Linked DNA regions of Drosophila melanogaster. The protein of the gene in region 1 interacts with the protein of each later gene in a pairwise test. Each region holds a gene or a part of one and is shown on either strand. Other genes may lie near its edges.

Region 1 (5,530 bases):
GTACAAGCACACGGGCGAGGAGCTGCCCTTCGCATGTGAAATTTGCGGCAAGCGCTTCCCCATCAATAGTGTGCTGCGCGACCATCTGCTGCGCCATGCGGGCATCAAGAACCATGTGTGCCCGTACTGCGGAGTGGGCAAGACGACGCGCCAGGAGTGGAACAAGCACATCCTTACCCACACGAAGGAGAAGAAGTACGAGTGCCGGCAGTGCGACCACGCCTCCCACAACAAACAGGCGCTGGCCAACCACGTGAAGGTGGTGCACGAGAAGCGCAAGGACTTTGCCTGCCAGTACTGCGGAAAGACCTTTGGCAAGTCGCACGCCTGCAAGATTCACGAGAGAAGTCATACCGGCGAAAAGTGCTGCGAGTGCAAGATCTGCGGCAAGGTGTTCCTCTTCGAGAAGGGCCTAACCAAGCATTTGAAGACGCACGAGAAGCGTGATTTGCCCAAGACGCAGGGGACCAATGCCTTAATGGGCGACGGGGCCAGTGGATCCTCGACAATAGCCAAGCCCAGTCCGCACCTGCGTGGTCGCGTCGAGCGGGTGGACATTGCTCAGTTGGCGGGAACGGTGGCCAATCCAATTCCATCGGTCAACCTGCCCTCGTGGTCGCCGCAAGTGAACTTCACCAAGAAGGAGGGCCAGCATATCTGCCCGGACTGCGGCAAGGGCTTCAATCACGTGAGCAACATGAAGCTGCACTACAAGGTGGTGCATCAAAAGGTCAAAGACTTCTGCTGCCGCTTCTGCCCGAAGAGATTCGCCAAGAAGCAGTACCTGCGGCACCACGAGTACATACACACTGGCGAAAAGCCTTACGAGTGCAAGGTGTGCGGCAAGCATTTCCGGCAGGAGCAGGTGCTCAAGACGCATATGAAGGTGCACGACAAGCCGCCCCGTCCGCCTGGCAAGCCCAAGGAGCCGGCTGGACCCAAGGCGGAGTCCAGCACCGCGGTGAAGCGCCAGCAGCCGAAGAATTTCGAGCAATACCAGGATCCGGCGGCGGAAAGGGCAGCGGCCACCGCCGAGCTGCTGGCCTACCAGATCGAGGAGAACGAGGCCAAGCGCAAGGCGGAGGCGGAGCTCCGGAAGATCCAGGAGGCTGCCTTCGAGCAGCTAAACAAGCTGCAGAAGCAGTCGAACACTTACGACGGCTTCTACGCGCAGAAGGCGGAGGCGGAGGGCACCTCAGTGGACGCACTGAAGTTGGATCATGTTTGAGCGGCAGAATCAAACGGAAATGCTTGCGAGCAAACCCGGCCTCCGTTTCCGATCATTTCATTATGTGTTTCTATGAAGGACATATGAGTTATAGTTCTCTAAGGATTACCAACTAGTTTTCGTCACTTTGCAATTTGATCTTTTTTGTATTTAAATCCCCCCTTTAAACTGCTTAAGTTTGTACTTTACTAATTGTATTCATTTAACAATGATTTAATATAATAAACAGTAATAAGTATTGAACATTTGAATTTTAAATTCGCCCCAGTGCTGGTAAGCGGGTATTGTTGGTAAACAAGACAGAGGTGAGCTGTAATGCTGCCAACTCGTCTGTTTTTTAGCTACATTCCACTAGCTATGCAACTTATATGAGACACATATAAAACTACGTATTTAATTTAGGTTAATACATACATTTATTAAGAATCACACTTAAAATGGCACATATTTTTTAAAACATTTGAAATTTGTTATTGATGCTATCCATATTTCTAGCCGGTTTAATAATTTAGCTATTAAATAACTGTTTGTACTTGGCATCACTGTGGGGTATTTTTTGGTATTTGTTTTGGTTCGTCTGACGCGTAAAGTTTTTCTCGGCTTAATATTCCGCGGATTTGGCCAGCAGATTCCCCCTGGAACAGGCATCATGCAGGAGGAGGCCGAGGCAGCCCAGTACTCGGTGCACGCGGTGTGCCGCATCTGCCTGAATCGCCTGCCGGAGAATGGCGGCGGCGCAGGATCCTTTGACCTGTTCCTGATACCCGGATTGGCCAAGAAACTGTGTGTCTGCACTTCGCTGGCCGTGGAGCAGTCGGATGGCTTCCCCAAGTGTCTGTGCGCGCAATGCTTCAGCCGGCTGGACGATATGCACGAGTTCCAAAAGCTGTGCGTGGACTCGGTGCAAAAGTTCCAGGACATGGTGGCCAGGAACGTCTTTTGCCCGCCAGCGAGTGCGCAGATGAAAAACTTTGATTTGCTCAACGTGGCGGGGAACGAGCCTGAGCTGGTGGGGCAGGACGAGGAGGATCGTATCAACTTCGATCCGCTACTGGATCACAAAATGGAGATGATCGAGAACGAGGAGGATGTGTTCAAGATGTTGGAGCACGTGGACAAGGAGGCCGAGCAGGTGGAGAAGGAAGTGAAGCAAGATGAATTGGACGCCGCCGATCTGATGACCATCTTTGCCGCGGAATCCTCGGAGGAGAGCGAAGAAGATATTGACCAAGATGTGGACTTTGAGCCCAACAGTAGCGATGGTGACGATGATGTGCCTTTGGCCCAGCGCTTACGGGATAATTCGCGGATGATACCAAAAGCAAAGGCAGCCGTAATTAAGGAAGAGGACCAAGAGTTCCCAACAGGCTCCGAAGAGGAGGACGAGGACGGAGAAAAGTCAAAGAGTCGACGCAAGAGGATTCCGCCTGGCGAACGGCACCTGCACCGCATCATTGACTGCCACATTTGTCACCAAAAGTTCAAGAAGGCCATCCGCTACGAAGAGCACATGAAGCACCACAACGACCTGCTGCCCTTCCAGTGCAAAGTGGAAACCTGCAGGAAAGGTGTGTAATGATGGCTCCAAATCGCATTCTCGTTTTGATCACTGGCATTTACAGGTTTCACCACCGCTGGAGGATTACGACTTCACATCGACCACGCCCACACGGAGCTATCCGAGGTGCACTCCTGCAATGTCGATGGCTGCGGCAAGACCTTTCCGCGCATACGCCTGCTCACCTTTCACATGAAGAAGATGCACGGCATCACCAAGGCAGCGGCGCCCCCACGGGATTACCCTTGCACCGAGTGCGAGAAGGTATTCCGCTGTCCCATGGCGCTCAAGAAGCACATGTACAAGCACGACGGCAAGGAGTTGCCTTTCCCCTGTAACATCTGTGGCAAAAGGTTCGTAATCAATAGTGCTCTAAAGGATCATCTGATGCGGCATGCGGGCATTAAGAACTACGTGTGTCCGTACTGTGGCGTGGGAAAAACCACCAGGCAGGAATGGAACACACACATACTGACGCATACCCAGGAGAAGAAGTTCAAGTGCCACATATGCGAGCACGCATCGCACAATAAGCAGAGCCTGGCCAACCACATTAAGATCGTGCACGAGAAGATCAAAAACTATGCGTGTCAATACTGTGGAAAGACCTTTGGCAAGTCACACGCCTGCAAGATCCACGAGATGACGCACACGGGGGAAAAGCGCTGTGAGTGCAAGGTAAGGGTAGAAAGATATTTTAAGCCAGCGTCGTCATTGCAACGTTTTGTTTTTAATATTCTTAGGTTTGTGGAAAGAAGTTTCTCTATCCTAAGAGTCTGACCAAGCACTTGAAGACTCATGAGAAGCGTGTGCTTCGTGCTATTGAGACCTACCGCCAGCGGCAGGTGGAAATGGGCGAGACGCCTGGTGAACAGTTCGACAATCCACCCGCGCCACCAGTTGAGGGCATATCCATTGAGCCGATCATGTCCCGAAACGCTGCCGACGAATTGCTTAAGGTGTGCGCCGAATCCGTGGCCACCATTCCCAAAGATCCACGCCGTGTACAACGAGTGGATCTGGCGCAGTTGGCTGGCACTGCTGTGAACCCCATACCCTCTGTTTCAGTGCCGTCGTGGTCGCCGCAGGTGAACTTTACCAAGAAGGAGGGCAAACATATCTGCCCCGGTTGTGGTCAGGGATTCAACAATATCGGAAACATGAAGCGGCACTATAAGATCATCCACGAAAAGGTCAAAGATTTTGCCTGCCGCTTTTGCCCCAAAAGATTCGCAAAGGCTCAAACGTTGAGGCATCACGAGTGGATTCATACGGGCGAGAAACCCTTTGAGTGCAAGACCTGCGGCACCCATTTCCGCCAGGAGACGGCGCTGAAGCGCCACCAGCGCACCCACGAGAACCGTCCACCCGTCATTTCGCCCAAGTTTTATGCCGCTCGCGAGGAGCTGGAAGAGCAGGAACGCAGCAAGCGAGAGGCGAAGCGCCAGGCGGATGCGAAGCGGCGCGAAATTGCGGAGGCGGCCAAGGAGCAGCTATCGTCGCTGCACAAGCTTGAAAGTAGTGACCGCAGCCTGCACTCCTACGATGAGTACCAGGAGGCAGCGGCGGAGCGAGCAGCGGCATCCGCTGAACTCCAGGCGCAGCAGTTTGAAGAGAACGAAGTAAAGCGACTGGCGGAGGAGGAGCGCCGCAAGGTTCAGGAGGCTGCCTACGAGCAACTGCAACTGTTGCAGCATCAGCAGGAGGTTGACAAGGCGCAAAGCTCCTACGATGGCTACTACGCTCAAAAAGCACATGCCGATGGCACCACTTTGGATGCTTTAAAAATCGATCATGTCTGAGATTTGGCCAGCGTTTAACGCTGTCACAGATGGTAAATCAATCCTGGGTTTTTTTTATGAAAAGCAATACCTTATAATCCTTATGAGAACAGTGTGTGTAAGATGGATATGATATAGTTTTAAGCTGAAAATATTCTTTAATACTATTTAATATAATGTCCTTAACTGTAGTACAAATAATACTGTACATTATTCAGGAGAACACAGAATACCTATGTGAATTCGACTTAAGTTTAATGATTCTGGTCTGAATGGAGAGGTTGCATGTCAAATATCATCTTTTCAATAGATGAATTGATTGTGGCAGTTATATATTTATATATAAAGATTGTTTATAAGTAGCTTAAAAAATAAATTTGCCCTATTAAGAGCTTAAATCTAATCGGAATTTTTTGTTTTAAATTCATAAGTTTTACTCCTCCTTGAGTATGAATAGCTTCTTAAGGCTGTCTAGTGTCATGTTCTCCAGATCCCAGTGGGTCGACAGCGTAGTCGTGTCATCGGCTGAAGTAATTAGCGATAGAATATTCTCCTCAATCGTTTCATTCACAATGAAACGATGCACCTTCGTGGGTCTAAAAACAATTGTATTGAAACTGACAGCAACTTCACTTCAATAGCGCGCACTCACCTCTTTTGCCCAAATCGGTGAATACGACCTATGGCCTGGCGCTCGTCTCCCGGATTTAGAATGGGTTCGACGAGGAAAACATGTGTGGCTTCGATCAGGTTCAAACCCTTTGAGCCTTTGGACAGTGGCATTAGTAGACAGGTAACATTGCTCAACGGATTCTAAAGGAGGAAAAATGTTTAGCAGTGATAAATTAAATTTAACAGCAAGATAAAAACCTTGAAATCATCAAAGTCCTTATTTGTGCACTTATTGCGGAATTGAATGCCGTTGAGACTGAGCGCTCTGGCAATTTCAATGAGAATCGCCTG
Region 2 (4,745 bases), on another chromosome or scaffold:
ACCCCATACGAACGTGTACCCTGGGTAGATAGCAAGATCTAGGATAGACAGCAGCGAATCTGAAACTATAACTAAATGCGTATCGCCGCCCAACCACTCCCCTCATATACCCATTTCACATATACCCTTGCATTATCGAGAAATCTGAACTTACATCGAACAAAAGTCGCCAGAATATCCCGATTTCCAAGCAAACGCATGTATATATATATATATACAAAAGCTAATGTGTATTCCCGCTAAGCAACTGAAAAGACCGAAAAGCAAATCACGAAAGAAAACCTTATATTTTGATGTATGTATTATTATTTTTTAATAAACCTAAGAGAACTTGTAACCGATCTGGTGTGTAATTGGTTTTTTCCTGGGAGGCTATAGCAAAACAATGTAAGTTTATTGTTTATATCACAACCAATTCGAGGCGTTAAAGTATACAAAAAAGTTAAAAATGATATTCGGTTCCTGCATTTATAAACGAAAAAATTGTTTCCCTCTGTAAGCAATACTTTTCAATTCAACTGAATTGCTTTCACTTATTTTTAGCTTACAAAAATCAATTTAAATACATTAGCCGGGCCTTAATCAAAAAAGATCTTACATATACCCTTTTGAAGACTGCGAATTAAAAAACCAGTTAACGATATAGTTTTTGTTCCATTTGGGGATTCGATTTATTCGACCACTCTTTTGCTTGCTGAATATGTACAATTTGCTTAAGTGTGCATTCGCGTTTTGGGGCTTTAACCGTAATTGGTTTGTTCTTACAGGGTAAAAATTATAGCTAATTAATTGTACATTCAAAACAAAAATGAGTCATCTAATCAAATTATATTCAAGAGGAAGATTGTGGAGTTCGGAGGCTGAGAATGATTATCAGTCTAATCGCTTTCTGTCGCAACATTTGCGCCATTGTTCTCCAGGCACTGCCAAATGGTCTTGGCCGCTGGACGATCCTCGCTGAGAGCATTTGTGCACAGATAAAACAGCTCCACGACGCAGTTGTAATCGTCGCTAAGTTGAAAGGCCACTGGCAATGGTGGTCGTGTACCATAGGCGGAATGAAGGTTATTCAGTGTAAAGTAAGAGATATCGTTCTCCTTCGTGTCATCATCTTCTTCATCGTCTTCCTCCTCCTCTTCCTTCTCCTCCTCATCATCCTCCTCGTCATAATCTTGACTCATATCGTTGTCTGTGTGTTCTTCCATTGCAGAAGGTAGTCCGTTCTTGTTTTCATCGCTGGAGAAGTCCAACTGTTTGCACTGCAGCTTGTCCGTGTCGGTGGGTAAATCGTGCGAACTGTCCATATCCTCTCCCAGTGCTGCATCAAGCTCCAAGGTATGTGGAGGCACCAAAGCAAGGGTTTCGTAGATAACCAGGCCAAAGCTGAATATGTCTGCCTTGCTGTCAATAACATCCACTTCGTCTATGACCTCCGGTGCGCACCAGAGGTTAGTTCCTAAAATATTAAGACATAAGTGGTTAATTTGACTGAATGTGAAATTATTTATATCATATGGGGTCAGTAAACTCACCCACATAGCGCAGTCCGGGATTCTTTAGGAAATTAACCTCGCCCTGCTCGTCCAGCGGAAGAGAGACTCCAAAATCGCACAGCTTACAAATCTCAAACTCGCCTTTGACCAGGACATTAAAGGACTTAAGGTCGCCGTGCATGAGGTGAGCTTCGTTGTGAAGAAAGTCTAGTGCCTGGGCCACGTCCATGATCATCTTATAGGTATGTTTGGCCGGCAACGGGCCCAGATCCTCGTCGTGTCGCTCCTCGAGTATGGAGCCCAGTGAAGTGGTGCACATTTCAAGTGCCAGTGTGTTGATGCCCTCGTCATTGGTGATAACGCCACGGAATCCCACGATGTTTGGATGCTTCAGTTTGCTGTAAAGTCAAAAGGTGCTGTTTATAGGGGGCAATTATTACAGCAATCCTGCGTAGTGTGTATAAAAAATGCACATTTTACGCAGTCACCTGTAGGTAACTCGATGCATTGGAAGCAAAAACTATGTACATCTAATAATAGCTTTATTTACTAGTATTGAGTTTCCCGGCTGAAGTGCGATGACTTAGGATCTTACTTGGAATATTTTGTTTGGTAATGCTATAATTTTTGTAATCTAATAAAGATTCTTTTGTTTAAAAGATGGGATATATGCAAAATAACATTTTAAGCTGGAATTTAAGGATGATCTATTCAATTCGAAGTGAGCCTAGATTACAATGGGGTATTTTAGCGAGCATGGACTGCAGCTGCTCAGCTGTGGGCCACCCTAATGAATTGCTGACCCACATATCGGATCACCCTAGCACACACGCACATTCAGCATCCGCACACGCACAAACACATGCACCCACACGCAGGACACCGACACATACTGCCAATTTGATTGGGCTTCTGGATTTGGATGAGCCTACCGCAGGATATCGGCCTCGTGAACAATTCGCTCGTTGAAGAGTGTATCCTTCTTGACCCGCATGTTCTGCGTGATCCGCTTGACGGCCCAGGGCGAGCGGATTTCGCCGAGACGAGGCGAGCGGTCCAAGCGGTAGACCCGGATCCCAGTGCCGTGGCCCAGGGTCTTCATCATCGGCGATGGCGGCACGTTGATGGGAGTGCTGCTGTTCTGGACATTCTCCAGGTGCAAATTTCTTAGCTTGCGGCGTGGCGTGTCCATCGCAGCAATAGTAAAATTCAATTAAACCAAAATTAAAGCGACGCGCACAAAACACCGTTTAAACTGTAAATGGAATGCAACAGTGTTGGTGTTGTGTTTGGTCCTAGGCGATAGAGTGACCGTGGCGTCTCTTTTGACTGGAATTAATCGCAAAATAGATGCTAAGCGCAATGTTCTTGTTACTGCCTTGTAGAGCACTCAAACTCTACTAAGTAATAGCTTATAAACTTCCGTCTGAAGTAACTGAAAAACAAAACACACGCCTGCTGTTCTAGGGCGCTGTGCGACTGGTCACACTGAATAGTGGACCGGCGTGCAGTACTAAATATTTAGTCGTTGGCATTCAAATTGCTCCTTATAAATTCCAATTAACTACGAATTATAAGAAATAGAATCCAGTTCCATAATGTTGGCAACGAAATTGGATGGAGTACCTAATACAAGGCCAACAAATATCCGTTTTTAATATATAAAAGTTAGCAACACTATTTTCCATGTTAATACCGGTCGTTTTGTACCGTTAAGCTTTAAATTAAATATATGACACTTAGCCAAGACGCGAACCCATACAGGTGCGTGTTACCCAGACAGCAACCGACACAGAAGTACCGCATTTCGTTGGTATTATTTTCACACCAACAATTGGCGCGAAAGCCGTGCCAAAGCAGAGATGCGATAAAGAAGAGGAGTGCAGAGAGGCGGCAGTCTGTGGAGAAACACCAGTGGAATCGCACACAAGCGCGGCGATTCGAAAGCGGACGTGTGTGAAAATCCAGACCGCGGGTTTTTTAAAATTTTTTGTTTTATTTTTTCGCGTGCGGTGTGGGAGGGTGTCACATCCAAAAAACACAAAGCGACAGCAACAACAACTCCGTTAATATTCTGGATCGGGCACACACGCACACAAACATAAAAAAACCGAAATATACACATGCTTGGCGGAGTTCGTGATTTAAAAATAATACAAAACACCAGAATTAAATATACGCGCACGCACACACACACGCGTATGTAAGGTGCAAAATAAAGTTTCTTTACTGGTTTCTGGTGTTAACAACAACAAAAAACATGAATAACTAAAGAAGAAACCGAAAATATAAACGAAAAGAGGAGCCGCAAAAATGCCACTCAGCTGTTACGGCGAAAAAACAGCGAAAAACGCCAAAAACATCGAAAATCAGGTGTAGCGAGAGAGGAAATATGGTGATTAAAACAAAGAGTGGAATTGGAAACGAAATCGTTAAAAATCAAATAATAACAATAACTACAACAAAGGCGGCGGCAACCTGCTCTTGAAATTGCCACAAATCTTGCTTTAATCTTTTGTTTTACAATAACCCCCAAAATCGCCATAAGGCACAAGTGCAATAAAAACCATAACAACAACAACAACAGCAAGAACAAACAAAATCAATATTCAAATTAAGCAGCAGCACCAACAACAACAACTCAACGAGCCGAGTCGATAAGCTAAACGATAAGTGCGAGAGCCAAAAAGGGGAGAAGAGCGCTCGACAGAGAGCGCGCGAGAGAAAAGCCGAGAGAGTGAGAACACAGCATCCACCCAAACCAAATCCACAAAATTACCACCCCCACAAAATGGGACGTCGAACGTATTTAAGCCGGTCCTCAACGATTTCCTACCCCAGCAGAATCGAAGGATGGCTGGATGTCTGCGGTGAGTGGGAGTTACATATGTACATACATATAACATCATAGACTTCATAGTGAATATCTCTCTAATTTATGTTTTATAAGTGAAATATAGGGTTGTAGTGTAACCTCATTCAATAATAATGAACTTAAATGAACTTAATGAAACTAAAGTTTAATGAACCATAAAGTTAGTTAGCGGGGATGCTGTAATCTGGTCCCTTTTATCGAACCTAATGGTTTTCAATGTACGATTATCTCTTTCTCTTAAACCTTAAAGATTAAGATATTGTCATACCCTTAAACTAAATGATTGGTTAATTCATCCAATTGATCCTATTGAAGCCCTGTCTAAATAAGGAATAGCTACATAAACATAGTTTTCTATAACTATCCCCTGGATTTTT

The links. Proteins that work in one complex are often made in the same cells at the same time.
Region 2: the proteins of CG10274 (region 1) and CG8173 interact in a two-hybrid assay, tested with the Drosophila melanogaster proteins (one large-scale study listed by BioGRID).

Annotation. Positions count from the first base shown.
Region 1 is NT_037436.4:6,178,115-6,183,644, reverse strand, and holds CG10274 (uncharacterized protein), read left to right. Parts: upstream 1-1,815; 5' UTR 1,816-1,877; coding exon 1,878-2,796; intron 2,797-2,850; coding exon 2,851-3,464; intron 3,465-3,529; coding exon 3,530-4,588; 3' UTR 4,589-4,968; downstream 4,969-5,530. Other genes in the region: D19B, read left to right, coding at 1-1,228; CG7376 (uncharacterized protein), read right to left, coding at 5,001-5,163, 5,220-5,380, 5,438-5,530.
Region 2 is NC_004354.4:17,706,757-17,711,501, forward strand, and holds CG8173 (uncharacterized protein), read right to left. Parts: upstream 2,898-4,745; 5' UTR 2,686-2,897; coding exon 2,426-2,685; intron 1,892-2,425; coding exon 1,533-1,891; intron 1,457-1,532; coding exon 879-1,456; 3' UTR 645-878; downstream 1-644.